Linked DNA regions of Drosophila melanogaster. Changing the gene in region 1 together with any one later gene gives a genetic interaction. Each region holds a gene or a part of one and is shown in the gene's direction. Other genes may lie near its edges. The genes, in order: ct, mam, su(Hw) and mod(mdg4).

Region 1 (7,432 bases):
AAAGCAAATCAAGAACATAAATAGCTTAAAAACATAAAACATAACATAGAACAGGTAAGGTAATCAACTTTTAATAAGTTGGATGTCTTGATGGAAGTTCGAAAGTATTTCGAAAACGAGTTCGAACCCCTTGCATTTTCGACTCAAAGACAGGAGAGCGAGTGAGTGAATATCTTGTGAGTATTTGGATTGAGTGGTTTCTTGAATTCCGCCGTTTTTAATCCAGTTGGAATTCTGCTGGTTGGCGGACACTTGTTTCTATATGGGCGATTTGTAGGGGTCTTCAATGCACTTATAATTTGTAATATTGCATAGTATGTATGTATATTTTAATATTTCTCGTCTTGTCATTTTTAAGAACGAATCTTTCTTTGTACTTCATTACTTTTACGAATTTCATCAGTCATTTTTTTTCATGATAATTATAACATGCAGTGATAATTTTTTTAAATTTGTAAGAACCATATATTGAATACTTGTATATTGCATTTTTGTATATAATGGCATAATGTATGTATTAACGAAATTATATAAAAATCCCTTATTGGTTTCCCCAATAATGTGTGGCTAAATTCCCTCACCTTTGTGGGTGGGTTGGCAGTTGGGGGTAAACTAGGAGCAATAAAATGAAATGAGTATTTTTTTCGGGGTGAGTACATTTTTCGACGCCGACGGCGGAACCGAGCATCGTTTTTTGTCTTCGTGTAGTTGGCGCTGCCCTTTCTCTCGGCTCTCCCGTTATTTTCGTTATTTTGCAAGCCGACGACGAAGTCCCCGAGCAGATCCAAGCCCCCAATATTCCCCGTACACCCCATTTACCAACAATTTTCCACCCAAATCCTAACCGCTTTTCAACCGATTTTCCTCTCAGACTGCAGCAACGCATCTGCGACTGCGACTTGGGTTCTCAGTCTCAGTTTAGGTGTAAGCCATAACCCCTTGGAAAATCCCAACCACATCGCCCCTCCCCGCCCAGCAGAAATCATGGGGTTTAGTAGAAAAATAGGGAGTGAGAATACCAAGGGGGTCGGGGGCGTCTGCATTGCACTTGGCGCTTCGATACAATTTGAACTTTTCTTTATGCGAAAATCCCGCAACGGGACTGCAAATTCCAGGGGTTTGCGGAAAAACACAAAATAACGGGAGGCTGAGAAGGGGCTTACTCTCCAATTTAATATTCCATGGATTTTTGAAGAGCCGAACAGAGACAGCCAGCCAAGGGACTTAAGTTAGGAATGCAATTTAAGGTGCATCATAAAGTGGCGGAAATTTGGAAAGGACAGATTGTTTCTAAATGTTACATTTACCTCTAAAAAAAAACATAAAAATTAAATTAAACAACAAAACATAGAATTGTTTGTTGCATTTAGCTTAATTTACACTTCGTATTTACTTTTTTATTTCCATCACTTTCTACTATTGTTTACTATGTTCGAACATTTGATGAATATAGCAGCTGCTTTTAATTCTAAGACTTATCTCGTGGAACTTTTAGTTCTTTAGTTCTTAACTTTAAAACTTATCAGTTTCAGAATAATACTTGAATTCCAGGTAAATCCCCCTAAAGCCAAAAAATATTACAACTTTCCGAAATATCCTCAATCTCAATCCCTCCGCCAGCGTCACAGTCGACGTTGCACTCAATCCTGCGCTCAATAAGCAACAACAACAAGCAGTAGTGGAGAGAGGCGAGCGCCTGGCTCTTTCGTTTCCAATAAGAAAAGCGATGTGCGAGCGGGAGGGCACTAGCCAAAGTGTCTGTGAATGAATGAATTTCAATACATGCAACTGACATGCGACGGCGCAGAAAAATGCTCAAAAATAAGAGTAAAAAAAAAAGCCGAGAAGGAAAGCGCAAAAAAAGTGAGAAAATCAAAAAGCTATTGAAAGAAATCAAAAGCAGTGCACGGGAATTGAGTGAGATTCTCTTGCGCGGAGCGTGAGAGAGCGAGCGAGAGAGTTGCGCTGCATGAGTGTGTTGTGTGTTTGTGGCGCCTCTGTCGCTGCCAACGCCGCTGTCGGCGCTCTCTGCGGCAGAGGGTTGTCGGCGCTTCGTTAACGTTCGATTTGTTCAGTCATCAACAGCATTCGTGACTGGCAACGTCGTTTCGTTCGTCCGTCGCCGAAAGAAATCGAGAATTTCAGAAGATTTTTGGATTCTACTGCCCCACAAGGCAGTGCAGCTTCTTCTTCTTAGCCGCGGCGCGGGTGTGTGTGCGTGTGTGCCCCTCTCTCTCACTGTGTGTGTACGTCGTGTGTGTGTGTGTGCAGAAGAATCCCCCCACCCACTTCATACAAAAAATTCATAAAAAAATAATTGCAAAAGAATGAATCTCGCTTGCCAAGAAGAAGAAACGTATTGATCATATTTATAAACAAAACAGCACACAGCCAAACAAATCAAAAAGGACTAAACGAACGTATAATATAACTGTTTATTATTTTTTTCAAGTGCATTTTTGTTCGCTAAAATATGTGCGCGTGTATGAGTGTCAAGTGTAAACAACAACAGCAACATCAAAAGCAACAACAGCGACAGCAAACATGTGCAAAATAAGCCACAGCCAAAAAGCAACAACATAATGATAATGGCTTGAAAAAATCACACACACAACAACAACAGGCAACAACCAAAACAACAACATCATACCCTCACCATTCAACAAACGACTACAACAAAATCCCCCACACAACAACAAGAAGAAACCCCCTTCCAAAAAAATCAAAAAAAATTCTTTTTCGGAACTAAAGTGAACAAAATATAAAACATAACATAACCATAATAATAATAATAATAACACACAGAAATTGGCTTATTTATGCATTTTTTTGAGCACGTAACAAGAAACATACTACTTAAGGTGTAAATGTGATGACTAAAAACGAAAACCGAATTAAATAACAACTAACTAACAAGTAAAATCGAAACGACAACAGAACAGAATAATGCCAGGCCTTATTAGCCCCAAATTGGTAGAATCCAAAAACTGAAAACCCCAAAAAAACCTAAGCAAAAACTGACTGAGAATTATTGAATTAACCCAAGAAAGCCCACGAATGCAGCCAACATTGCCACAAGCCGCTGGGACAGCCGATATGGATCTGACGGCTGTTCAATCAATCAACGATTGGTTTTTCAAAAAGGAGCAAATTTATTTATTGGCACAGTTTTGGCAACAGGTAAGAAAAGTTAGCAAAACGATGGAAAACGGTGCTTAAAAGCAAGAAGTTTCGTGTTTCAAGAATAATAATATGAATATAGTTCAATGAATTGGCCAAACAAGCTGAGATTACGGGTTCGTAAAATGTTCGGTGCAAAAGTGTTTTATCTTCTGTTCTCACTTTTATTCGCATTGACAAACAGTCTTACGTTTATATTACATGCAAGGTGTATCTTATTTTTGTCAACAAAAAGATGAAATTACACCTGTTATATGTAGCATAAAATTTGATACTTGCGTTTTCTAACTTTATATGAATGAAATGAATTCGATTCATACAGTATTGTGTATTCAAAGTGAAAAGTTTAGGGAGCGTAACGCGAAAAGCCCGAAAGCCTTTAAAACGTTATAAGCTAAAATTAGAACTTTCCATACATTGATTAGACTAAAAAGTCATATACAAATTTGCAATTATCATTGTAACTAAACAGTGAATAGTTCCCGAGTTCTGTGATATTCGTTGCATTTCACTGGAAACTCCCACAGCTGACAACAATAACCCTAGTGCGCCCAGCCGCCCACTTTAACCCCACACAGCCCCCATATTTTGGCCCCGCAAACTGCTTAACTTAACTTAAGTTAACTAATTGAGTTTGCGTGTCTATGGCAAATGTGTTTTTATTGTTGCTGGCCCGTTATTGTTGTCTAATTTCTTGTTGTAAATTTATTTATTTTTTCTGCTATTATTGATTTCTGAAAAAAAATTTGTTTGCACAAAACAAAAACAACAAATGCAAAGTGCAACAAGCAAGTAATAAGTGAACAGTTTATTGCTTGAATAACTTTTTTTTTTTTTGAAGCGTTTTTTTTTCTGTTTTCTACTACCAGTGAACCGAAAAAGATAAAGCCAGACAAGATCGGCCAGACGGAAGAGACAATTCAGATGGGGGTTTCGCTGTAAAAGGGGGCGTGGAAAATCGGGAGGCGGGGGCCAGACGATGCTGAGAATTTCGCTGGCCAAATGCCAGACTCCGAACAAATAAGGCGGCAAAATAACATTAGAGGCCAAAAAGGGGAAAAGAAAATCATCTGCCAGACCAGACATGGAAATATCAACTGCTGTATATATTTTTGAATATTTCTATATATAAAAATACTCTCTATATGGTTTGGCAAGTTAATTAGGTTGCGTCGACAGCCGGGCAAATTTTTTAATTGGAGTTTCTTCTTCGATTGATCGTGAAAAGCGAGAGACGCGCACAGTGAAAGACAGACATGGAAAAATTCCCGGAAAATCTAGACATTTGCCGTCGGTGAATGGCGTTTTTTCCCGCTCCACAAATATTTTTGTACAAGATATGGCGATGCAAACTGCAATCAATAAAACTTAAATAAGCAAAACCAAAAGCTATCCTATCGACTTTTTCCGGAGAACCACAACAAAGGCAAAAAGATGAGAAGCCGCAGAACTCGTTAGGATTACTTGAAGTCAGTGGTGTACACAGGATTTTATGAATGGGGCTTTGCTGATCTCAAATAGAACCGGTTTTTATTTAATTAAATGCATTTGCTTGTTATATTTAAATGTTAGATATGTACATAGTGATAGAGCATAGTGTTGGCGGCCTAAACGAAAACACAAAACCCCATCTAAAGGCGCCACTGTTTTGGGTTCTTTTTTCCTCTTTCCTAACGATCATTTAATGGCTTTCAAAAGCTTCAAGTCTTCTATAACTTTCAAGATCCCTCAACCAATGATCGATTGTGATCAATGAATCAATATTTGAAAGGTTTCGTCATGCCTTCGCATGCTGATCAACAAAACAAAATTAGAACTCGATCCATAAATACCATTTCTCTGCGGCAGAAAAAAAGGTTATTCAACATAACTAAATTTGCCAACCAAAAATAGAAGCTTATTAAATAAATTAAACAAACCGCAGACAGACGTCTACAGCTGTCCAAATGAGTTGATAAAACAATTTTTATAGTATTTCACTTATTTATTTATTTACATTTCAAGAACAGAGCGCGCGCGAAAAAATTGACACAAATCGAATTCGAAAAAGCAACAATAAAAATGTGCTTGATTAACACAAAGTTTTGTCATTAAATATATAGAACGGTGGCACCGAAAAAACGATCACAAAAAATTGAAAAAAAAAACAAGTGCAAGAACAAAAAGCAGAAGCCAAAGAAGAACCAAAAGTTAAAAAGAGCAAAATTAATTTCCGTAATGCAATCTATAAACTTGACCCATTAACATCGAACAGATTTTTTGTTTAGCTTCTACAATTACCGAAATCCGAAAAACCATAAACCGAAAACTAGATGAAAGATGAGGTTTTTGTCATTGATTTGTGCTGATTCAAACTAGAAAAAAAAAAGATGGAAATGGAAAGACAACAAAACCGAACTAATTGCCAAATGCATTTGCTGACTTAAAAAATATTAAAAAAAAAAAAATAGAAAAGTTGAATTGAAAAGATGAGAGTAAATCGAGTTTGGGTTCCGTTTTAATCGAATTGAAACCGGTTTATAGGGTAGTCACCACCACCATAGCACCATCACAGATGCAGATACGGATATAAAATACGAAATGCGGAATACCGGGGACGAGCATTGATAGTTTATAAAGTTTAATTTTCAAAGATGGCGTCCCGGCATTTGCATATGCCGAAAATGAGCAGCCAAGGGTTGTCCCTTAAGCCCTTGGAAGCACACGGATACCTTGTACACATATACGATATCATACCATGCTATACCAAACCATAGATACCATATTGCCAGATACAGTATACAGATAGAGATCAGATCGGTGGACTGAGCGGCGGCGTGTGTCGTATAATTTTTAGCGTTTTAAGTGCAATTTACTCGCTCTCTGGCAGAGAAGCCAGCTAATGAGTCACAGAAACCGAAACGTGGATGAATGGGGGGGGGGGGGTGTTTGAAAAAGGGGTTATACCAAGAATCACAGACCGAATTCAACCACCCACACAGCACACAGATGCATACATATGTATGTAGACACACACGCATGGTATATGAAAATATTTCAGTCAGTTCAATCGTTCGATCGCTGGAAAGATATGTTAATATAATTAAATTAATTTGTCAGCACGGAAATTAAAACAGAAGCGGCATCGGCAGCAGCAGCAGCAAAAACAGAAACCGAAATGTCCATCACATCCACATCGGTACACATACATAGTATCTATAACAAAATGCGACGAACGAATCGAAACGATACTATACTATACCATACTATACTATACTATACGAACCGAACGAAACGAAACGAGACGAATCGAAATGAAAATCGAACAATTAAAAGCTTGTGGTGGGTGGGTGGAGATGGCGATCTGAACCCGAGAACTCGAACTCGATCTGAACTACCACGCAACTAATAATGTGAAATAAAAAATCATTTGGAAATTATTATTAAAAATTGAGTTCATGAACTATGTGTGTCCGTCCCGTCCGTCTATGCCAACATATGTGTATCTGTATCTGTGTGTGCTCGATCAATTTTTATTATGATTATTTGCTATTTCCCTCTCTTTCCGGTTTATGGCATTAATTATGAATAGCCATTGAAGCTAATTGAAGCCGGTCGAATGGAGTGTCCTCATGTAACTTGGGAACTAACTAACCATCAAACGCACTTCAAATTTCCCATCTGATATGTTTAGGCCGTAATTAGCTGATTTTCAATCGAATAAAGCATCGAGCTATGCAATGACCTGAAGTAACTCAGCTTGCAGTCATCTTAATCAATTGAAATTTTACACAGCACTAAAGTGGGCTTTTCAAAGTATGTGGGTTGTGTGTTTGGGCATTTTTTAAAACCAATACGCCAATCTAAATCGCAAGGAGATCAGCTTGTGGTTATCAAACGAATAAATACCTATTAAACCACCCTGATACTTTATATACTCATAGTAAGCACTAAAATAAGTACATATGTACATATTAGTCGTCTTTCAGCTAACCTGATGTAACTCAGCTTGCTGCCATCAAATCAAACTGAAACTTCACACTATCATATAAGTGGGAAAATGGGAGGGGATCGGGGAATGGATCTCCAGCTAAATCGCCACACGGCAAACAGCGACACTAATTGAGCATAAATATCATAAATGCTAAATGCGCTTTGCGTGGTGTGCATCAATTGTCATTGCATCATTAATTCCGCATCTAGACGAACGAACCGAACCGTCTTACAAAAGCTGGCGATGCCAAAAATGAAGAAGCGGCAGTGGCATCAGCGG
Region 2 (7,293 bases), on another chromosome or scaffold:
ATATACAGTTAGAATTAGTGCCCATTAGATCCGCTACGTCTAAAACTTGGTACTCCATCCAGAACCACTTAAACTCGTCCCACTGTTTCGAGCCATCCATCAAATTACACAAATAGGAATAGGAATTCCCTTCTTAGTTCCCTCCAACGTGCAAAAGGTCAATATTAGCATATTATTCAATTAGTTTAATGCTTCGGCCAGCGAGATGGTGACGCATTTGGGTTGGACTGCCAACGATGACTCGCTGAAAGTGGCTACGATCTTAACGTATACTCAAAAGGAAAACTATACATCGCTACTCAAATCAAACATAATACATATGCCATATATCATAGTCTAGAACTAAACAGGACTTTGTACATAGGATTAAGTCTAGGGCAACACCAATTCAAGTTCGATTTGAGGAACTGCTCGTGTTTCGGTTTACATATACATACATACATGATATATATACATACAATTTGTGATAAACTTGCACCACACAATACAAAATAAGAAATAAATTTTCAATTATTATTGCAGATTATAGTTACAGTCAGCAAGTGGGGTAAGTGGATTGTTTAAAGCAAGCATTAGGATTAGTAGATAAACAGTGTAAGGACTTGTGTGTGACGCATGACTCACCCGTTGCGCACTCCGAAGTCTCGTAGGACACTGTGGACTGAACGTCGATCGCGTTTTGTTCTTGTCTAATAAAGTTAAAAAATTATTATAAATATGTTAACGTTAACAACGCCAAGAGATCCCACCTTGATATCACATCTGTTATGACTTGCTTCTCCGCGTCTGTATAATCATTGCGTCTGCGCCCGATCTTCTTCTCCATATCCGCCTCCACGAAGTCACCTAGTTTGCGGGTGGGGAACTCGTTTGACTTGGCTGGCGGCGGCACATCCAACTTGAGGTCCTTCAGCTTCTTCATCACGCGTTCCAGAGCCTGAATGGCATCATCGTCGCTGTAGCCAAAGTTCTTGTGCAGCCGTACTTGCAAGTACTCAATGATGGCGTCCATGTCCTTCAGGCGCAATAGTTCGTCTTTGTGAAGGTACAGAATGGTGATGGCCATGGACAGTATGACGCGATCGCCGTCTAACATGAATATATCCCACACGCGCAGACTCAAACTAAAAGGAACCTGCAAAAAACAGATCTATTAAGTATTTTTGTAATAAATACACCTTGTGGTTTACATACGCGTTCCACGAAGACGACAAAGAACCACTTAATAGCGTACAGCAGGGCGTCAACGTTGTGTTTGGTAAAGTGCTTGTGTAGTTTTCGCATTATTTTCGACATGATGCGGTCGTGGTGATCGATGAATCGCGTCAGCTTCGGGAATCCCTCGATAAACAGCCCGTGCATGCCGTATTTTTGGTCTGTTATCAGGGTATTTAATGCCCAAAAAGCCTCCTCCTCGTGCAAATAAAGCAACAGCACGCCAGCCACACAGGCCATGCCCTGGCAGTAGCCCAGCTCCGAGTTGTAGATGCTATAGGCGTTGAGCACATTGAATAGCGAGCACTGCTTTACGCTGTAGCGCTCGCGAAAGGCAAGATTGTCGCGAAACTGACGATTCACATCGGCATCGATTTGTCGCGTCTCCGTGGAGTACTTCCTGGCCAGCTGCAGCATTCGGAGGTAGACGCCAGCATTGTTGTTTATCGATTGCTGGATGTCGAGCAGCTTATTCCAGGCCACCATACGCACGCGATCCGGTATGCCCTTGTAGACGCGCTTGTGCAGCTTATCCTGGGGCGGCGGCCACTGATTTAGCATCTTCATCCACTTTTTGTCCCGCTCCATTTCAATCTTGTTGCGATGCACCTCCTGGGCATCACGCGTCGACGGCAGCCGCGAGTCGTGCAAGAAGCCATATCTGTGGGAGCATCAATGGCATTATTGGGATTTTTTCTGGCGAATGATTAATATTACTCACTTGTCTGTCCTGTGGTAGATCTCGAAGGTGGGATTCTCCCAGGAGTCCACCACATTGCTGGGATCCAGCCCGAGTTCGTAGCGCCGGAAGATGTCCTCGCGCTCGTCCTCGGCCCGCTTGACCAGCGCCTCCTGCTGTTCGCCGTCAGTCATTTGGAGCAGGATCAGGATTTGGCGGGTGGGGGAGGGGATCGGGGACAGGAGCAGGAGCCGGATCCGGAGGAGCAAGTGGCCAGAGCTGGTTTCTCTGTGCTCTCAGTTGGGGAGCGGCTGCTTCTGAGCTGACTGGGCGATAGCGCGAAACTTTGATAAAAAAAAAATGGAATGGAAAAAATAACACACAAAAGCATTAACATGCGAAAGCGATCCACAATAACAACACTCGTATACTATATAGCTGATGAGCGAATGACGCACACGAACATTAACTATTGTATATATATATATATATATTCAAATGCAGTGAAATCAACATGATCTTTGTTTTTGGAGAAGGAGCGTGGCATAAATGACGTGATGTTTCACCCATATTTAGTGCAGCATCAAAACATAAAGCCATATAAGACTTGGTCACTGATCTAGAAAAACGCCCCCTGATCTGCGTTGTGTGAGTGTGAGTGGGCCAGAAATGTGTGGATCTGCATGCGCCCCCGGGTTTTTGTCGCCTATTTTAATGCGAAATGTGCAATCTTATGCTTTATCGTTCGTACACTTCCTGTTTTCGCTGCGATTTGTTGTATTTTGTCAACACAGACACATACGCACACACGTAACACACACACACACAGACGCTCCGACGAAAGAGAGTGTTCTGGCTTTCACTGGCCACTCTCTCCGCGTTCCTATGGTTGAGTTTAATTAATCGCGCCGACGTTCGTTTACCATTTAATTTTGAATTGCCAATTCTTATTATCCGCACTGATCGGTTATGTTTGGTAACTAGTTTTTCACTATTTTATCTCGGCTGCATGTTTCCGATACATTTGGGGGGCGACTGAGTGTGTGTGAGGGCCAGAGTTGCCAGACTGATGTAATTGCCGAATAACGTAACGTAACAAGAGTACCAGGGATGCGAGCCAATATTTAAGCGATACTTTAGCGTAATGTTATACGAGTTTAAATTTTAGTTGAAATGTTTGTGATGTCAATGTACAAATATGTAAAATGTTTATCTATTTAAAGCTGCAAATGAATGCTCATTTATAAATATTTAACAATGATATTTATTTACTTATTATTTAAAACCTATTCAGTTACTTAATTGCGACAAGTGGCACTTAATGAATTAAAACATTTGTGGAAAACATTTTCACTTCAAAATTTATTTCTTGATAACAAAATCGGCTTTTTAATTCAAATATAATTTTTGTGACTAAATAAGCAGTGCTGCCATACATTCAACTGGAAAACATCGTCAGCAACAGAAGGATAAGTAATCGCTTGATCGATAGCGTTATCGATGTTTTCCCAGCCATCGTTCCACCACTAGCGCCTCTCAAAACAACAAAAAAACAGCGGCAGTCGGACGCGGTTTTTATCATCGAGCGCGGTTTCTTTGTTTTAGCGCTCGAAAATTGTCGAGAACTCTCGTAAAAAATACACTGTACCAAATAACTAAGGAGTGCATGCTAATTGAACAAGCAAATGAATTAAGGTGTATATCAAAGTGAAAAGAAGTCAAACATAACCGATTTTGTTGGCGGCTTTCTTTTATTTTTGTTGAGATACCGTGTTTAATTTCTCCAGTTTTATGCAAACACATGAATAACATAACAGTGGAAATTTCTAAGAGTGCATTGTGAGATAAAAGTAAGCAAATAATTAATATTATGTTTAACATAAAATGCAACCCTCAACAGCGTCCTTTTTAAAGGTGTGCGTTTATATATATATATATATATATATATATATATATATATGTGTGTTTGTGTGTGCGTGTGAGTGATTGTGGATTTTGTGATGCAAAAGAAAATTGCCGCGTGTAAATTTTTGATTTTCAATTCGAGACGAGCAGAGGATTTTTAAACTGCAGCTCTAGCATTTACCGTTAGGGCAAGAGTAAACACATTCAACATGTTGCAGTCACTAAAAACTAAAACAAAAGCAAAGCGGATCACTCTCTTTCTCATTCTCTCATTCGCTCTCTTTGAGTTATAAGTGTTTTTGCCGTGTTTTGTTTTGATTTTTGCACATACACGAAGACATCGAGAGAGGAGAGCGGAGAGTTTCTGCTCTTTTGATTGTTGTTGCATTGGCCAGCTAATAAAATTGTGCCGTTCTTGTTGTTGTTGCAGTTGGATTAAAATTCAAAGCATTGGATAAATGCTAAGTTGAAATAACAACAGTAATAACAAATGGAAAATAGCAAATAGCAAATCAAAGGAAATCAAAATCAAGTTGGATTATCAGCACAGCTTCTGGGTAAGTAAGTTAAGTCTCTTATCGCCTAATTAGTTTATAGCGTTTTAGTTTCGTGTGGGTGGCTTTTTGCATTTCAAAACCAGTTCTATTTCGGGTTTTCATATGCCTTTTTTTCTCTTCTCATGTTGATAAGACCTTGAAGCGCTTTTCGTGTAGAACTTCGCATGATTGATGTTTTTATGTTTGAGGGGAGCTTGAGTCAAAGCTCGGCTTTTAAAAATGGATCAAGACCAGTTTTTCGAGGCTTTGGAATTGCCAAATAATTTCCTAAGCCCAAACTGCAGTTTGTTGTGGTTGTTGCTATTGCTTTTGCTTGCATCGCCTAGAAAATGATGGATGCACACACCTCTCGCTCTACCCTTGCCGTCCCTTTCGCACATCCAGAAGTTGTCGGTTGAGTTTTTATGGCCGTCTCTTTTGTCTCTCCATTTATTTGCCTTTGTCTTTGGACTGATGACTTTGTTTTTGCCCTGTCTTTGATTCTTTCTTTCTCTCTCTCTGCTTCTTCTTCAACGTTGATCCTTTGATTTCGTTTGATCCTTGTAGGTAGAAAAGATTGAGTGTGGGAGAGATCTACCGTTGTTTCGTTACTTCAATCTATAAGATACTAGAATTTTCTTTTTTAAAACCAATTCGAGAAATATTTCAATATATATTTTTGGGGAAAGAAGAATTTTAATTCTTTCGAATATTAAAGAGTTTTTTAAGATTGATTTATAAATTTCTTTTGGATCTTATTATTTGTATTTTGTATACGAAACATTCCATCTTATATTATTATCGTTAGTTTTTTGTAACTCCAAAAATCAAAATAAATATTCAAATAAAGAATTCTGTATTGCCTTTTGTTTTAATGCCATTATGCAATATATGCATTTATTGCTTAAATATTTTTAAAATTATTAACAGCATTCAGCTTATGTCTTTTGAACATTCTCCTTACCAATATCAGATGCATTCCAACCGAAATGCGACGAAGGGCATGCATTTAAACACAATACCTGGCATACTCGACATTTTAAATGCTTTTCATCACTTGATAAACAGTATTATTTGCCTTTCCTTTTTTTTTTTTTACATACATGTATCTCCCTCTGTTCGCCGCCGTTTGTTTTGCCCCCGTCTTCGCATATGTACGTCTTCGAGTGGTCTAACATGTAATGTATGCCTCGTCTTTAGTTTCTTGTTCGTTTCGTCTTTGAGACACCGGAAGTTGTTGCTAGGCTGAAAAAGTTGTGTGTGTTTTTCAGCAGTGTCTCCAGCTGTATCTTTATCTCCCTCTGGAGCCGTATATCCATCTCTATCGACGAGCAAGTGGCGCGTGTGAATGACCCAATTAAGCTGAAGATAACCCGGCCTAAGCTTCGACTTCGTAGGTGGCTTAAAACAACTCGGTTGGCCAAGAAGAAGCAGCCCCAGAACCTGCCAGACGAACATACCTACTATGGCACAACAAAAAAGAGTTCACATCGAATATATCGAATGCGAAGTTTGAACTGTAAACAGGTTTACTTGGCCTCACCTCGCTTCGTCTGCTGCAGTTGGCTGCTACAGGTTTGCCTCCGTATCGCGAACTGCGCGCCATGGAATTTCCTGTATTCATTCATTTTTGAATCCATATAACATAAGCCTTATTTCACTTAAGTTAAAAAACTACAATAAGAAGAAAATAAATGCATACCATTTCAATCTTAAAATTCTTGAAATAAAAAAAATTTCATTCCGGGTGTGAATTTGTGGATTTGATTAAATAAAAAATAACTGTAGTATATATATGTTGATGTTGAAATTTTTAAAAGCTCCTCCATTACTTTCTCCATTTAAGAAACAGGGTAATGTTTTTCTAAGGTCAGCTTATGCAAAGAATAACATATGCAGTAATCCCAGTTTAAGTTATCAACATTTCACTGTACATGGTTTAGTGTGGTGCTTTATTTTGTCAGGCCAAACTCCTTTTCAACATTTTTGTATTAAATATTTCGCACCATGTTCTGCATTTATTCGGATACGAGAGATCTCCCGAGGCTCCAGTCTTCAACTCCATCTCCTTCTGTGCGTCTGCCATCTCTGTTCGACGCTCTAATGCCGTCCTTTTCTGTGGCATATTTTGTCGTTGAGTCAGTTGGGGTCAATGCTGCTGCTCAACTTAACTCTTTGCTCACTCAACTCACTTTGCTCGATGGCCAAAACAGGTTTCCGCTTTGGCTGAGCTTTTGTTGTACGCTTGTTTTTTCGGGTTTTTCTCCTGTGCAGCAGCGCGGCCTCACCCACAGTTTGCTGTTTTATTTTTCGTTTCGTGTGCTTGGGCTTTGGGCCCAATACCCAATATATCTGGAATCCCAACCCTCGAGTGAAACATCCCTGCTGCCGCAAAACAGCCCTCAAAAGCGGGCAATCGCAACCTGAGACACTGGGAATGCGAGTGCAGATGGAACTTGGGAATCGTATTTTGGGGAGGGGTGTTGACGATGGGACTCTTTCGGATGGCGCTGCAGCTGGAGCTGTGTCTGTGGCTGGATAGTCCGGGCTATCCCGAAAGTGGATGCCCCATTCCAGGTGTTCGGTCGCTGCATTGTAGCAGGCGCTCAGCTGCATTCACCGCACGATTGTGTGCAGTGGCCGCATGTTGCAAGTTGTTGCACCAGCAACACTCAAGCGAATCTTTCGCGAAAGCCCGAGACGCAGGCACAGACGATGGCGACGGCGACTGGCATTTCTGCACCGGTTTTCCAGCCATTTTCCCCCATTCGCATTGGCCGCCTATGCTTTCTTCCTTATCGCCTGTTTCGCTGCTGCCACAACTTGCTGCTGTTGCCGCTGTACATGTTGCCGCTGTTGCTGCCACTGCATCTCTGGCTGCTGCTGCGCTGCTGTAAATGTTGCCGCGAATGTTGCTGCCGCGGCAACATTCGTGGTGCCAGCTGCACTTGCTACTTC
Region 3 (9,090 bases), on another chromosome or scaffold:
GTATGTATGTATACTAAACTTTTTCACCATTGAGACTATGACATGACGATTTAATCATTTAAAGCCTCAATTATCGATCTCTGATGCAATGCATCTTAATGAACCCGCCGTTTGTTTGAGTTATTAAACAAGAAGAAGATCTCCTCTGGCGCACAGAACCGGAATTCCGCGCAGCTCTATGCAAATGACATATTCGGATGGCGTTTATTCTAAAAATTGGGAATATAAGCTATTATCTATGGCTCAAACAAAGTGCCATTGACAATGGCTCTATGAGCCCACGAAAGTCACTCAGCGCACAACGATGTAAGGAACAGGTTTGGAGCGATTGCGATTACGATTACTAGGTATCCACTAGGCTGAGGTCTTTGGAAGCGGCTCCAAATTAATCACCCGGCAATAGCGATAGAATGGGGGAATTTTTGTTAGCACCATCAGAAGACAGAAGGCGAAGGAGAAACTTATGAGCGAATCGATTAAAGAAGGTAATTAGATGTTCGGATAACCGCTAATTTCCGACGACATCCATCAAAAGACACGGATTCCTTCAGAAAAAAATGTGCACTCAAAGAAAATGTGTATATATAGCTATTCCATTTCAATTTAAAGAAAGTTCTCTAAGATATTTACAATCTTATGCTTGAGTAAAGTATCTCAATGTCTTTCTAGTCCCATTATCACTTGATAATACTATTATTTTTCGAGTGTACCTAACCCATTCGAGGGGCAGGGGAAATTTAAAATGCAGAGGAGTCGAGATGTGAAAAGAATTCGAATTTAATTTAAGCACAAACCTGAAATATAAGCAATGCTAATGCCAAACCCATAACCGAAATCAAAACGGCGTATACTTAATGAACGACTCGTGTTATGTGTATGATATATGTGTATGTTTGTCGCCTGGCTTACCCATGGGAGCTCGTTTCCCGGAGACATCTGCCGCCAGGATCTGTGCCTCCAGTTCCGCCTTGCACACCGTGTAGTTGAAGCCAGTGGCTCCGATGACAAGGTCAGCGAGATCCGGCGTCGCGCCCTGTGTGGTGTTCTCGAAATCAAAGTCATCGCACTCGATGCCCAGCTCCGATTTGTCCAGCATTGTGTCGCAGACGATCTTGTTGTAGCCGAGATTCACGCGACACGCCTTGTCCAGTGGGAAATTCTGCATGGCCACCGCATTGAACACGGAGGCCATGAAGTAGAAAAAGAAGAAGGGCTCGATGACCAGATAGTGGCGATAGCGCCACAGTTTCTGGAAATAGTTGAGCTTGGGCTCTGCATCCACTGCTCCACTGCCATTTCCAGCCGCATCTGCCGATGACCTTGGCTTTGCCATTTTTTTATAGCACTTGCTGAATTCCTCAAAACTCTTATTTTTTATACGATTCTATTCGATTCGATACGTCTCTGGCTCGGCAGGTTGCTCTAGCAGCACATTTTAAGCGATTTGATCAACACGTCGCGCCAGGTTCTAAGCTCAGACTAAACTAAGCGACGATTCCGGGGATCGGGCCAAGCCAAGCCAGGTCTACTACTCAAATACTCAAATGGGCAGTCGTTTGATACGCACAAGAAACTTGTTCAATCATTTCTTCGTCGCTTTCGGTTCTTATTTTTTTTATTTATTTTGTTTGTTGTCAGCTTCGATTAGAGCAGAACAATGATAAATATGAAGAATTGTCACCGGGCCGTGAACTGTGGAATTCGCACATGCCTCGGGGAGATTCGTTGCTCGCTCAGTTTTACATTCATAGATTGTCAGTCATAGTACACATTCATTTATAAATAAATAATGAAGACATTTGAATACAAGCGGGCTGACTTGATTAAGTTTATAACTATGAAATCTGGTTTTGCAGTTTATGTTGCCTAAATATGCAGCTTAACCTGCTAAATTTTATCATAAACCCGGAACACTTTCGTTGTTTTCTCAACTGCACTTGAACATTTGATCATTGAAATTAAGTAGTTTTGCCAAAACATATAGTAAGATGATACAGCAGTTTTCTCGCAATGAACTTATATATTTATTTTTAAGACTGAGCTATTTAAACATTTATACAAACCAAATCGAAGTTCTTGCAAGTGATTCAAAGTCATGCGGATCACATGCATTTTTTTTCAGTGCGAATGTTATTACATTAGGCGACAACCGAGAATGGAGCTGCACGTGGGATGTTTTTGCGGCATAGCCATGGGGGAATTCCAATTGTACGATTGCAAAGTGCCTTCGATTACTTAGGGCTACAATTAGAGGCAGATGGGTCGTCAGTTTCTACTCCGTCCAACGGTGGGTGCAGTTCTGGTTGGTGCACACGTAGTACAGTCGCATCTCCTCTTCGGCGCGACGAGTTTGCGCCTGGAAGAAGACCGCCTCCCGATGGGAGCACTTGGGACAAGCGTGGTCTTCGGTGCGCGGCAGCGTGGGATCGGAAATCACGTCGGGCACAATGTGGGTCAGCTCGTCGATCTCGTGCATAATCTTGTTCACGTAGATGCAGTTGGAGTCCGCCTCCTGTTTGTAATCGCAATTCCGGCAGGCGTACAGCAGGATCTTGTTCTCCTTGTCCTCCTTGGGGTACAGCATGTTGTTGCACTCCTGGCAGAACCGAATGCCCACGAATCCCGGCCCCTCAGTGTGTGCGGCATCAAAGGCAGTCGTCATGGCTATTGGCTTACAATTATTGCTAGTTAATTGCAATTTGTGAGTTAATGCGGCTTTTATTTACCTTTTTATCGTTGCAATTGGCGAAAGTGTGACCGTGGCAAGGCGGCTTAAATATACCGAGATCATGGGATAGGTATACCTCATTAACATACTAGCCTTTAACCCTTGTGAGCACTGCTATTTTAATTATATGCTTATATATTTTGTTTTTTATTTTATCAAAATGCATATTAAAGAATGCATTTATTTGTATTTTATTCAATTACTTTTTGTATAAAATGTTAAACCTGATAATTATCTTACCGAGCAACGGCTGCGGTGGCCTTCGACTGAAATTATATATAAATAGTGAAATGTTCCATATAAGCTTTATTGTTCGGATCATTAATCTATGCTTACAAAGTTAACCAATAAAAAGTTAATATAATATTAAGCCAGACACCGGCTATTTATTTTAAATTTATGTTGGAATTATTACAAATTTACAACCCAGAAGATTCAAAACAGAGGAAATTTCTTTGTACTTTTCATGGCGGCATGTTCAGATTATTTTTTCACGGGTTGTTGTAATTAATGGTATTTTCCAACCTACATGCAACGGTCACACTGAATTTTCATACACAAACGCTTGTCGTGTTGGAATTTAAAGCATAAAATTAGGTAAATTGTGATTTATTATCGGAAATGCGGTCAAAACCCTTTAAGGAACGCATCCCGTGATATGAGGACATGTTTGTGAAGCAAATACCTTAGCCAGTGACTTGATAATTTCACGCTCTTTATCGGCGATGGCAGTCACTTTCTTTCGCTGCGGAGCAGAAAAGTGCACTTCTAATCAGCAAAATAAGTGGTTAAAACCGATCCTCCACGTCCTTCGCCGGCACAAAATCACATTAAATATTTGAAAAGTATGCTACGGATTTGCGAGTGTATTAGAATTATTTGCTACCCCTTTGAAATACAATTTTATTTCAGAAGAAAACTTGTTGCGTTTTCTGTGCGTCAGGCGCAGGTAGTGTTGTCTCGCTCACACCAAGGCCGATCGATCGTAAAGATCGAACAGCGCGACGCCATTTTTTCTTAGCAGCTTTTGGGCGTGTGTTGGTGACGCTGGCAAAATGTGATGTTCAGTAAATCACGTGCCTAAAAGTAGACTAAAGCGGTCACTGGTTATCCTGATCCTGAATTATCATCCAATCGATCTTAATTGCAGGCTGGTATCACCAACATGAGTGCCTCCAAGGAGGGCAAGGAAAAGAAGGGCAAGCTGCTGGGTGTGGAAAACATTTCGCCGCCTAAGGACAAACGTCCCGCCACCAGGATGAAGCTCTTGAATGACGTGGGAGCTGGTGAGGATTCGGAGGCAAGCACTACTACTACCACATCAAGAACTCCCTCCAACAAGCAGGAGAAGCGTGGCAGTGTCGCTGGATCGCGCATCAAAATACTCAATGAAGAAATACTGGGCACTCCGAAAACTGAGAAACGGGGCGCCACAAAGAGCACAGCTCCGGCTGCTTCCACTGTGAAGATTCTGAACGAGAAAAAGACACCCAGTGCTACCGTGACAGCCGTGGAAACTACCAAGATCAAGACGTCTCCCAGTAAAAGAAAGAAAATGGAGCACTATGTACTTCAGGCTGTGAAATCAGAAAATACCAAGGCGGACACCACGGTTACCGTGGTCACCGAAGAAGATGACACCATTGATTTCATTCTAGCGGATGATGAGGAAGTAGTTCCGGGCAGAATAGAAAATAACAACGGCCAGGAGATCGTTGTCACCGAGGACGATGAGGATCTAGGGGAGGATGGTGATGAGGACGGTGAAGACTCCTCAGGCAAGGGCAACTCTAGCCAGACAAAGATCAAGGAGATCGTGGAGCATGTGTGTGGCAAATGCTACAAGACCTTCCGTCGCGTTCAGAGTCTGAAAAAGCATCTAGAGTTCTGTCGCTATGACAGTGGGTATCATTTGCGCAAAGCCGACATGCTTAAGAACCTGGAGAAGATCGAGAAGGATGCCGTGGTGATGGAGAAGAAGGACATATGCTTCTGCTGCAGCGAAAGTTACGACACCTTCCATGTAAGTCATAAAGATTGATACCAAGAGAAGTAAGCATAACTTTCGCATACCACATTTTCCTTTCAGCTGGGTCACATTAACTGTCCCGACTGCCCCAAGTCGTTTAAGACACAGACCAGTTACGAACGCCACATTTTCATCACTCACTCCGAGTTCAGCGATTTTCCTTGCTCCATTTGCAATGCCAACTTGCGCAGCGAGGCCTTGTTGGCGCTCCACGAGGAACAGCACAAGTCACGTGGCAAGCCGTATGCATGCAAGATCTGCGGCAAGGACTTCACCCGCTCGTACCACTTGAAGCGCCACCAGAAGTACTCATCGTGCTCATCGAACGAGACCGATACCATGAGCTGCAAGGTGTGCGATCGTGTCTTCTATCGGCTGGACAACCTGCGATCGCATTTGAAGCAGCATTTGGGTACACAGGTGGTTAAAAAGCCGGAGTACATGTGCCACACGTGCAAGAATTGTTTCTACAGCCTGTCCACGCTGAAGTAGGTTTTCTAATTGATTTTAAAAGACATAAAGTAATGTTCGGTATATTTTCGCAGCATTCACATACGCACTCATACGGGGGAGAAACCATTTGACTGCGATCTTTGCGACAAGAAGTTTTCTGCATTGGTGGCCCTTAAAAAGCATCGACGCTATCACACTGGCGAGAAACCATACAGTTGCACTGTGGTTAGTCTTAAAACTTCCGTAACTTTTCATTTAACCTATTGTAACAATGCGGTATTCTATTACCTTTTAGTGCAACCAAGCATTTGCCGTAAAGGAAGTGCTCAATCGTCACATGAAACGGCACACTGGAGAGCGTCCGCACAAGTGTGATGAATGTGGCAAGAGTTTTATCCAGGCCACCCAGCTGCGCACCCATTCCAAAACCCATATTCGCCCCTTTCCCTGTGAGCAATGCGACGAAAAATTCAAAACAGAGAAACAGTAAGATATTAAAAAACCTTTTATCTTTTCTGTTAGCCCTACTTACTTATTGCAATTTTGTTTCGCAGACTTGAGCGCCATGTGAAGACCCATTCTCGCACAAAACGCCCCGTCTTTTCCTGCGCCGAGTGCAAGCGTAATTTCCGCACTCCAGCATTGCTCAAGGAGCATATGGACGAGGGAAAACACAGCCGTAAGTTGGAATCGACAATTGGCAATAATCAAGGCTTTAATCCCGCTCCTACCCTTTGTAGCGAAACAACAACGGTCATCAATGCGATCGGCCGTCAAAATTATGGAACGCACGGATTGCGCCATTTGCGATAAGAACTTTGACAGCAGCGATACCCTGCGACGGCACATACGCACCGTTCACGAATGCGATCCGGATGACATTTTTGGCGTTGAGCCGCATCCATCAAAGCGGGCAAAGAAGGACATCGAATCGGAGGAGGTTGTACCAGTGGCGTTAAACACATCGGCGGGCTCGTTAATTTCTAGCCAAACGGACGGGAATGGCGTTGTGGTGCGTGAATTCCTCGTGGACGAAGGCGATGGCGCGGCCCAGACCATTACACTAGAAAACGAAACATACACAATTCTGCCCCTGGACGGGGCCATCGAGGGAGAGCAGCTGACGGATGAGGCTGGCGTTAAGCCCGAGGCGAAGAAGGAGGAGGCGCAGGTCTCGCCGGTGGTAAAGAAAGAGCAGCGTAAATCCCTGGCCGCCAGTCTGGCCGCTGCCATCGCAGATAATTTGGAAGAATCATGTAGCGAGGATGACTTCAGTGGCGAAATTCTAACTGAGGAGGACATAAAGCTCAAAGAGAATGTGGGTAAACTTATTGATATGCTAGTGGATCCACCGATCCTAAAGAAATACGGCTGGCCCAATGCCCCCGAGGAGACGGTGCTCTGCAAAGTGATCGAGAACTGTGGCCACGACCTAACCAAAGGTGGCGAAAACTACGCTGAGCTTGACTACGGTAGCCGCATGCGAGAGTACTGCAAACTGCTCTTTACCGTGGTCATTCACAACGATTCCATCAAGTCGCTGCTCAATAATTTCCCCATCGACGATGTGATCGAATATGTACTGGGAGATGAGGATCAGGACGAAGGTGGATTGGACAAAGACAATGAGTCACATTCAGGTGATGAAGAAGCGGTGTCGGTCACAGGCGAAACTAAAACAAATGAAATCAGAGAGAAACCGGAAAAGAAGGAAGTTTCGGCGAAATCTGAAAAGAAGGAGATCGTGGGGAAAGCTGTGGATAAGGATAACTCAGAGGAGGTGGTCCGGGAAAATAAGAAAAAACCTGTAGGCGAACAAGAGAAAGCTTGATTTTCCAGCCCTTGATGCATGCGTACAATTACCGCACAAAAACCATATTCTAGGAATTGATCGTTGATGATTTTTACAACATTTGTATTTTTAAGATCGTTGGTTTTGGTACAAACACCAAGTGACCTTAAAAGAGAAACTTACCGTCTGTTGCTTGAATATTCAGACATCTTGCGCATTGACAAATTACCCAAAAACAAACAAACCAACATATTACATATCAAAGATATTTTGATATTATTATATAGATTTTATATATTTTTGAATTGAATGATGTTACCAAGCAATATATGCATGGCTATTTTTATAGTACTCTTATTAATTATAAAATATACAAATTCAATATTTTCGATAAAACTCTCTTGAATTTTTAACAATGCTTATTAATCCTCAATGCTTACTGTTCCATCATCAACTTCAGAATACGTGCGTTGTTTTGCAAGATCTTGTGGCGACTCTCGTCGATTAGCTCCCGGTACTCCGCAATGCTGGCTTGGATTTGCTGCAACTGATGCTGCAGGGGCTCCGTGGCAGATGCCGTGAGAGTCTGCTCCCTTTTTAGTTCCGTGGATGCCTGCGTGTAGGTGTCGCGCCACATCGTAAGCTCCAGCTGCATTGCATCAAAATCCTCGGGTATGCAGTCCAGTAGTTTACCCAGCGGACCTATCGACTTGGTGAGCTTTTGGACTACGTCGCGTACGTCGTTCACCTGGCGCGCAGAAGTTTGTCGGCCTGCCTGTGCTGGAGGCGGTTCCACTTCGGCGCCTTGATTGACCAGTTCCTTTTGCGTTTCCAAGATCTGCTGCACCAATCGTCCCTGGGCATCGAGCTGTCCTTCCAATGCCGGTTCGTCACCGCCACCTTCGACAATATCATGGGCGGCGGAATCTTCTATGATCACCAGGTTCTCTCCGTCGTCGTCCAAGTCGCCAAAGGTTTCAAGCTTTACATTTATGCCCGACATTTTGATCTGATCGTTTGGCTGGAGCACGATCTCCACATTGCGACGTCGTGGAGCTCCGGGACGTGCGGAGGCGGGTCGAGCGGATGGAGGTCTAAGTGAGGTTCTGGGCCGTTGATTCACTTCCTTAGAGTTCTCTCTGGTGAGGGGAACCTCCCGCTTCGCTTCGCCGCTGTTGGTCTCCGGTGGAGAGCTGGTTTCTGACGACTGCACCGCTGGCTGGGATTGGCTCTCATTGGGAATGGGATTAGGTTCCGGTTGCCTGTGGCTGCCACTAGAACGGCGACTTCTGCTAGAGGATTTGCGACTCTCAGGCTCAGCTGGTGGAGCAGTTGGAGTTTCCTGGACAGGTCTCACCACTGCCTCCTTCTCTTTTAATGGAGGAACCTGTTTGGGTATACGCATAACTTATGGATTTCTAATTTTAAAGCAAATTAACTTATTTTTCTTACCATTTCCGGCTCTGGTTTGCTTGGAGCACTTTCGCTTGCAGCAGGCTTGGTTGATCCTTCTTCCACTGGCGACATAGACTGGCTAAGATTATCGCTCTCTGTTGAAGGCTGCAGTTTGGCTTTGGACTTCTGCTTAACTGGTGACGGACTCTTTTGCTTCGAGTTTTGTCGACTTAACTTCGTCTCATCCTTGGGTGCCTTGGACTTCTTCTGGGATGCTTTATCCTTCTCGGTGGGGGGAGTAGAACGGGACACCTGTTCTTTGACCTTGCGCAGCTTCTGCTCTTGAGGCGATATACGTTTCTCCTTGCGTCGCTTTGCATCCTCATCCTTGCCGGCGGGTGAGGGATTTTTGCTTGAATTTTTAGTTTCCTTCGGTGGCTTGGTAAGCGTCAGTGGTGTTTTGCTGTGGGAAATCACCACCTGATCCACAATGCTGTCCCACTCCAAGTTCTTTTCCGCAACACTGGCCATCGCCTGGAGGAGCTCATTGGTGAGCTCCGGTTCCTGGCCAGCAACTATTTTTGAAGTGCGTACTTTGAGATCCAGTTTGGTTGTTAGTTCTGCGAAAGCAAACACCTTGTAGCTAATTCAGAGCACCAGCATTGTAAGCCAAACTCACTGGTTGCATCGATC
Region 4 (7,044 bases), on another chromosome or scaffold:
CTGGAAACTCTGGTGGGGATGTCCGTGATGGTGCTGGAACATGTGGGCGGGCATACCGTAGTCCTGGTATCCGCCGTACAGCTGGTGCGGCGGGGGTGGCAAGAGTGGCGATAGGGACGACGATGTGGTGGCGCCATCGTCCAAGTGTTGGTGATGCAGTTGCTGCTGCGGAATCGGCAGCTCGGATTGCTGATGCTGCTGGTGGTTGAGGTACTGGTGGGGATTCTGGTACTCACCGGCGGCGAAGAGCGCCGAGGCAGTCGCCGCGCTGCGGGAAAGCAGGAAAATGGAAAAGCGCAAGGTTAGAAACAAGGCAATACAAAGTCTCGTATATGGCCGCCATATGTTGCATCACGGAGGACACAGCCCGGGGAGCTGGGACGAGGACTTTTTGCCCACTTCCTGCTGGCGCGACAGGATCCATGGTGACATCATTTCATGGCTCATCAGGCAATTAAGGACGCCCCTGTGCGGCGGTCCACACATGCGAATCACACATGTTGACCAGCCCAGAAGGGATCGGGCGGACCAGCGATCGCCGTGACTCCCGACTGCCTGCCTCGGACATTGTTGTTCTTATTGTTAACACTGTCTCTCCTCGTCTTTGTCTTCGGCCTCTTGTACAAATAACGATGATTTGTCAAAGCCTCGAGCTCAACGCTCAACGCTTGACGCTCTCCGATCCCAGATCCTATTTGCAATTCATGCTTTCTATGTGTTTTCATAGGATTTCTTCTGCTACGTCTCGGCGGAAGGTTATCAAAATATTATCTTTCTTTGGAAAATTGGTAGAAATTAATTTTCCTATGGAGCCCTATTAAATAAAAATAAATAAAAGCGATCGGGACGGGGAAGGGCGCTGTCTTCGAGAAGAAGTCACTGACAGGTAGAAGTGGTGGAAATGTCCATGTATGCCAGTTGATAGCTAAAAATGGCTCAACTAACAGTTGGTCTCTCTCTGAACTGCACAGATACCTTCTTAAATCATTGCAATTTAGATAGTTAACCGGTATAATAATTAGTTTTATATCATATATGTACACTGATTCGATTTAGTAGATTTTGGTAACATGTAGAACACAGTACCTTGGAACTAGTCTATTGGTGTACCCCAATTTTTAGTTGCTTTTGACCCTTAATGTATAATTGATTCAAAACTTCCAAGCTTACCCATCGATATGCCCGTAGGAACCTTCGTAGGCCTCCGTTTGGTTGACCATGTTCAGGATATCCTTGACCGAAAATGGAGTGGTGTTCAGGGCATCCGCGTTCGTCAGGCTGCCCGGACTGGGGGACTGAGTGTAGTGATCGTAGTAGCCACCCGATTGAGCCTGCTGCTGATGGTGCTGCAACATCCTCGCTGTGCGATCACTTGGCCACTTGAGAAGCACTTCGATTTAAATAAGTCCAACAATTTGCCAAATCGCACTTGAACTTGCGACACTTGAATTGGAATCTCGGTAGTCCAGTAATCGAGCAAACACTCCACGCAACCGTTAGCGCAACCGTAAGTGAGTCGTAGCCCGTAATCGGCAATCAGTAGTCCGTAACCCGTAAGCCGTAAAGCGCCGTTCCGATGCGCACTCGACCGTGTCTGCAATTTGTCAGCTCGATTTTGGTACTGAACGCGTACTCCTTTCACCCCAGACCGCCTCATGCCACTGTGTTTTTGGATGTGTGTGAGCGAACTGAGCATACGGGCAAAATGGCCGCCCCGGAGCCAATCACAGCACAGCATCGGAATGCGAGTGCGGCATCTCGCTCTTCTGCGCTAGAGATGTGCGAGGCTGTCATATGCTTAGGAGATTTATAAAATATGTATCCAAATATAAAAAACTAATTTATGTATTACATTTGTAAATTTAATCTAATAGCTTAAGAATATATATGGTATTGACAATATATTTTAAGTTCTGTCCATCACTAATTCCAAACATGTATGCTTGTATGCATGTATGAAAGTATCTTTGCACAATCGCACACATTGTACCTGACTATCAGATTCAATAACCGACTCCTCCAGCTGCTCCCCGTTGTTATTAGTTGTTTGTTCGCAGCCACTTTATGCTGATTTTGTTTCGCTACTTGAGCTTAAGTATCCGTATTTATTATCGTAAAGTCCTTAAGTTTTATAGTCCCCATGTATTTACGTTTGTCCGCGCGTCTTGTGTATTAAACGGTTGTCAAGTGGCGCTCAAGTGCAGATTTTCGCACACTTGATTTTAAGAGTGTACTAAGCTAACAAATAAATAAATCGTGGGGAATATGTTTGGTTTAAACGTTACGCTCTCATATATTATTGTTTATTTCACTTGAAACTGTTATGATTTAATAGAGATGAATAACATGGATATGTGAAGTTGTCTAAATAGAGCAACATTTTTAATAATATTTCGCCTTTATGGGATGAATACCTTCATTTCGAATCTTGGCATTGCACCAAAAACGTGTTCACATATGTATATAATTGCATATGTAGTGCATATGTACATACAGTACACAGATATACATATTATGTACATACATATTTTGTTTGGTATGTTTAAGAACTTTTAGCGAATATTTGCCTTTCTTATAATCCTATTAAGTCACTTTTTTTTTAAAAATATAGTGCCCTTGTGCATTCAGAGTGTAGGGTTTACGTAGTGACGATGCGCTCCATAAGAGTTTGTCAGAGTTATAATGAATTCCGCTAGAAAATAATCCTCCATTCGTAAAAAATCGAAGGCCCAGTTTAAAAAATAGGAGAATTTAAAAAAGTTAAAATTTTTCTGTTTATCTTATGAATTTTATTCTAGTTGTGCTAGTTTGACTGCTAGTCTTTAAACTCGTTAATTTGTATTTTGTTTTATTTCATTTAAAATAAATTAAACATTAAGCTAGACAACAAAACTGTTGTGAAATAAGAAATTTCGTCATAACATAAATACATCGTATACTTAGGCCGATATTTTCTTAGTCCTACAACCTTTTTTAACACACCCGCAAACTAAAATCCTACAGCATATGTAAACTAAAGTATGTAAAAGTTTTCAAAAAGTTATGAACTTAATTATGTGATTTTCGTACTAACATTTAAAAAAAAAATATCAAAGCACATCAACTATCAATATTCATAAAAGTATTTCGATATAAATATTTTAAGCTATCGATATATTGTCACTTTTTGTTTTGCCATCGCCAGCAATCTCGTCGCCTGGTAACACTTCTAATTTTCACGTCAAAGAACTCGGACGCGTTCTGCGTGTCGGCCGCGCTAGCAAAAAACTCTGGCTTTAGTTAGTTATTTTATTGGAAAAATATTTAGTCAAGAGGTGAGTAATGGCGCCCCAAGTGAATATACACAGTAGGTTGCGGTCATTAAGCGAGATAAATGTAATTTACACACACGCACACACAGACAGACGCGTGAAAATTTCCCAGTTTTTTTTGGCTGCAGTGCATTCTATTTTGTGTGTGCCTTTGCCATTTTTCAGCACTCGCTGCATTGAGTTTTAAACGCGCATTGCACTTTTTCGCCTGCAGCCAACAAACGCATAGATACAGAAAAGTATTGATTTTCGTCCAAGATGGCGGACGACGAGCAATTCAGCTTGTGCTGGAACAACTTCAACACGAATTTGTCGGCCGGCTTCCACGAGTCGCTATGCCGCGGCGACCTGGTGGACGTCTCGCTGGCCGCCGAGGGCCAAATAGTGAAGGCCCACCGATTGGTGTTATCCGTCTGCTCGCCCTTCTTCCGCAAGATGTTCACTCAGATGCCGTCGAACACCCACGCTATCGGTGAGTTTGTGCCCCTCAGCTCAGATCTGTAGCTCTACGTGATTTTTTACCTTATACTCTCTTCGCCTATCTTGCAGTATTCCTGAACAACGTCAGCCACTCGGCGCTGAAGGACCTCATCCAATTCATGTACTGCGGCGAGGTCAACGTGAAGCAGGACGCCCTGCCCGCGTTTATTAGCACCGCGGAATCGCTGCAAATCAAGGGGCTAACGGATGTGAGTATATGTATACATTTGTGTGCGTGATATACTGGTATATCGAATCGAGCAACTACAACGCAACCTTTCGCGCCCAATACATACAGACGCGATGGCTGGCGTCTGTATAAGAGCATGGTTTGACTGTACCGAGAAATTTCTCGCAAACCAAATGCCAAAAGGCACGCGTGCCAGAGAGAGACAACTGCAGGGGCTATACGCGAAGCGTTTGTCTCGCTCTGGCTCGCACGGCAGCGGCAAATTGGAGTGGTTGTTTTTGTCTCGCAGCGAATTCGATGCCAAAGCATAAACATTTTTTGCTTTTAAACTAATGTTTAAATTGGGAAATATCTCTTAATGTTTTCGACTAAAATTAACGTATTTGCAAAATTAAATTTAGTGCAGCTGTACCTAAAGAAACAGGCATCGGAACTAGAAAATGTATTATTGTTTCCCAATTCAAGGAAGGCGTACTTTACTAATTAATGGCCAGATTTCTTATTTCTTTGCAAATTCCATTCTAACGGAATAATTCTTTTCAACATATAGTTTTGAAATCGTCCATTTTATTAAATGCAGATACTTTTAAAGTTTATTAAGTTTTGATCGTGGTTCATTTTTAAAGAGGTGCTAGAACATACAAAATATCTTTTCACTTATTCCTAAAATATATGTTAATAATTAAAAAACCAATATTTTTTTTTCAGAACGATCCTGCGCCTCAGCCGCCGCAGGAATCCAGCCCGCCGCCAGCAGCACCTCATGTACAACAACAGCAAATACCGGCTCAGCGGGTGCAGCGCCAGCAGCCTCGCGCCTCCGCCCGCTACAAGATCGAGACCGTGGACGACGGCCTGGGCGACGAGAAACAGAGCACCACCCAGATCGTCATCCAGACCACGGCCGCACCCCAAGCCACCATTGTACAACAGCAGCAACCGCAGCAGGCGGCGCAGCAGATCCAATCGCAGCAGCTGCAGACGGGAACCACGACGACGGCGACGCTGGTGTCGACAAACAAACGCTCTGCCCAGCGCTCCTCCCTGACCCCCGCCTCCTCGAGCGCCGGCGTAAAGCGCTCCAAGACAAGCACCTCCGCAAATGTTATGGACCCTCTCGACTCGACCACTGAAACTGGAGCCACGACAACCGCCCAACTTGTGCCGCAACAGATCACCGTGCAAACCTCTGTGGTCTCTGCGGCAGAAGCAAAGCTCCACCAGCAATCGCCGCAGCAGGTTCGACAGGAGGAAGCCGAGTACATTGATCTCCCCATGGAATTGCCCACGAAATCTGAACCTGACTACTCTGAGGACCATGGCGACGCCGCCGGCGATGCCGAGGGCACCTATGTGGAGGACGATACTTACGGAGACATGCGCTACGACGACAGCTACTTCACTGAAAACGAGGATGCTGGCAACCAGACTGCGGCAAATACGAGCGGTGGCGGAGTGACGGCGACCACTTCCAAGGCTGTGGTCAAGCAACAGTCCCAGAACTACAGTGAATCATCGTTTGTCGACACCAGCGGGGATCAGGGCAACACAGAGGCTCAAGGTTGGTTGAATTGCAAAGCATACATGGCCAGAGGCCAATAGATATAAGCAATATTTAAAGGACATTAAGTCCGCTTGCGAAATGCAAACACGTTAAAAAAAAGATCACATATGTATTCCAAACTTGAACACTTTCCAAATCTATTAGCGTCGCAAGCGGATCATGTCCTTTTAGAGTTCGGCAAAGTGCGTTTAATTTTGTTTTGAACAAACTTAAGCTATACTTCGCTGGCCATTAGTTAATAAGTAGTTTACGGGCCTGTGTTCTATTTCGAATCGACAAAGAGCACTAGGCAGATCTGCTGTCCGATGCATATTTGTTAAATGCTGGACGGAGATCGCGCGGTTTTACACTTATTCAGTTAAAAGGTAAGTAGAGTGATGAAATTTTAAGAAGCTGCTACGATGGATATCTGATGTCAACGTGAAGCCGAACCCGTGAAGAGCTGCAACTACTCAAGGTAATACCGGCACTCTTAAAACCACACCTATCCATATATTTTTCCAAAATTTGCAGGCATTTGTAATTGTTTATTTGACTGAGCAAAGCGAGTAATTGGAGTTTTCAATCTTACATGATCAGGGGGTTATTATTTGGGCATGCGCATTTCTGTTTAATAATGATCCTCTGGTGATGCTAAGGCTACTGAGGTTTGTTGTTATTTATGTTTTCAAACTCGTACTTAAAGATGTTGTCTGGATTTGTTTAAGCAACGTAAAAGCTTGCTGATGCAAATCCAGCAACGGCATTGATTGCCGAGTCTTAAAAAAAAAATTGTATTTATAACGCTGTGTTATAGTAAAGGTTCATTTCTAATCGTTTTAGTGGTCACGTAAAAAAAAAAGGAAAGATTTTAATAATACGTATAGGGAGACTCTTTTAACGTTATCAGTGGAGAGGAAATTTATTTCTTCATGCAGCGTCGATTCTGTTTTACTTTTTGCGTGCTGATTTTGTTTTTTCATTCCAAATTTTTTGTATGGAACATTTTGCGTGTTTTTTTTATATGGTTCCGAATTAAAGGGTGTCTGAAGAATTTCACGATATTTACGGATGTCGCGGTAACCTTAAACAAAAAAAACAGAATATACTAGACCTCTTACCTAATTGGTAAGAGATAATCATAAACCGTTTTAATTCATATAGGCGATAGTTTATATACCTTGGAACAAAAGGTTGGACCGCCTTGAAGCATTTCCGACTTATATTTCCTTTATTTGTAGTAGTAATTTTCGTTTTTTTATTGTTAAGCGTATTTGAGAAAATTTATATTAACGTTTGAATCGTGTAATTTATATTTTGCGCGCCTGGTCCGGATATTTAGAAAGTATCCACAGAATATATTATATATATATTTGTAGTATGAAAAAATAAAGAATTAAAATTTGAATTAATGCGGAGTTGCCATTTTGTGGAAATTGAGGACGGTGTTGCCACTTCCGGAAACCCTAATTGAATGTGCAGCCCTGGTGCTTCGGCTGTGTGGCAACGCCGTGCAAATT

What was found.
Region 2: of ct (region 1) and mam, changing one enhances a phenotype caused by changing the other (phenotypic enhancement), as found in Drosophila melanogaster (2 studies listed by BioGRID).
Region 3: of ct (region 1) and su(Hw), changing one suppresses a phenotype caused by changing the other (phenotypic suppression), as found in Drosophila melanogaster (7 studies listed by BioGRID).
Region 4: of ct (region 1) and mod(mdg4), changing one suppresses a phenotype caused by changing the other (phenotypic suppression), as found in Drosophila melanogaster (7 studies listed by BioGRID).

Annotation. Positions count from the first base shown.
Region 1 is NC_004354.4:7,606,359-7,613,790, forward strand, and holds the start of ct (cut), read left to right. Parts: upstream 1-2,789; 5' UTR 2,790-3,057; coding exon 3,058-3,180; intron 3,181-7,432. UniProt on the Drosophila melanogaster protein: Regulator of cell fate decisions in multiple lineages. Specifically, functions as a determination factor that specifies sensory organ identity in precursor cells. Probably also involved in cell type specification of Malpighian tubules.
Region 2 is NT_033778.4:13,987,749-13,995,041, forward strand, and holds the start of mam (mastermind), read left to right. Parts: upstream 1-3,454; 5' UTR 3,455-3,744; intron 3,745-4,229; 5' UTR 4,230-4,356; intron 4,357-7,293. Other genes in the region: RN-tre (uncharacterized protein), read right to left, coding at 625-689, 750-1,135, 1,195-1,876, 1,937-2,088.
Region 3 is NT_033777.3:14,302,759-14,311,848, reverse strand, and holds su(Hw) (suppressor of hairy wing), read left to right. Parts: upstream 1-3,259; 5' UTR 3,260-3,573; intron 3,574-3,640; exon of another isoform or gene 3,641-3,814; intron 3,815-3,878; 5' UTR 3,879-3,893; coding exon 3,894-4,751; intron 4,752-4,817; coding exon 4,818-5,245; intron 5,246-5,302; coding exon 5,303-5,435; intron 5,436-5,505; coding exon 5,506-5,696; intron 5,697-5,764; coding exon 5,765-5,889; intron 5,890-5,950; coding exon 5,951-7,041; 3' UTR 7,042-7,394; downstream 7,395-9,090. Other genes in the region: CG31321 (uncharacterized protein), read right to left, coding at 910-1,333; Polr2I (RNA polymerase II subunit I), read right to left, coding at 2,273-2,662; IFT54 (intraflagellar transport 54), read right to left, coding at 7,439-8,389, 8,455-9,017, 9,077-9,090. UniProt on the Drosophila melanogaster protein: Component of the gypsy chromatin insulator complex which is required for the function of the gypsy chromatin insulator and other endogenous chromatin insulators.
Region 4 is NT_033777.3:21,373,558-21,380,601, reverse strand, and holds the start of mod(mdg4) (modifier of mdg4), read left to right. Parts: upstream 1-3,200; 5' UTR 3,201-3,314; intron 3,315-3,525; 5' UTR 3,526-3,569; coding exon 3,570-3,783; intron 3,784-3,860; coding exon 3,861-4,000; intron 4,001-4,689; coding exon 4,690-5,542; intron 5,543-7,026; exon of another isoform or gene 7,027-7,044. Other genes in the region: tin (tinman), read right to left, coding at 1-268, 1,171-1,355. UniProt on the Drosophila melanogaster protein: Component of the gypsy chromatin insulator complex which is required for the function of the gypsy chromatin insulator and other endogenous chromatin insulators.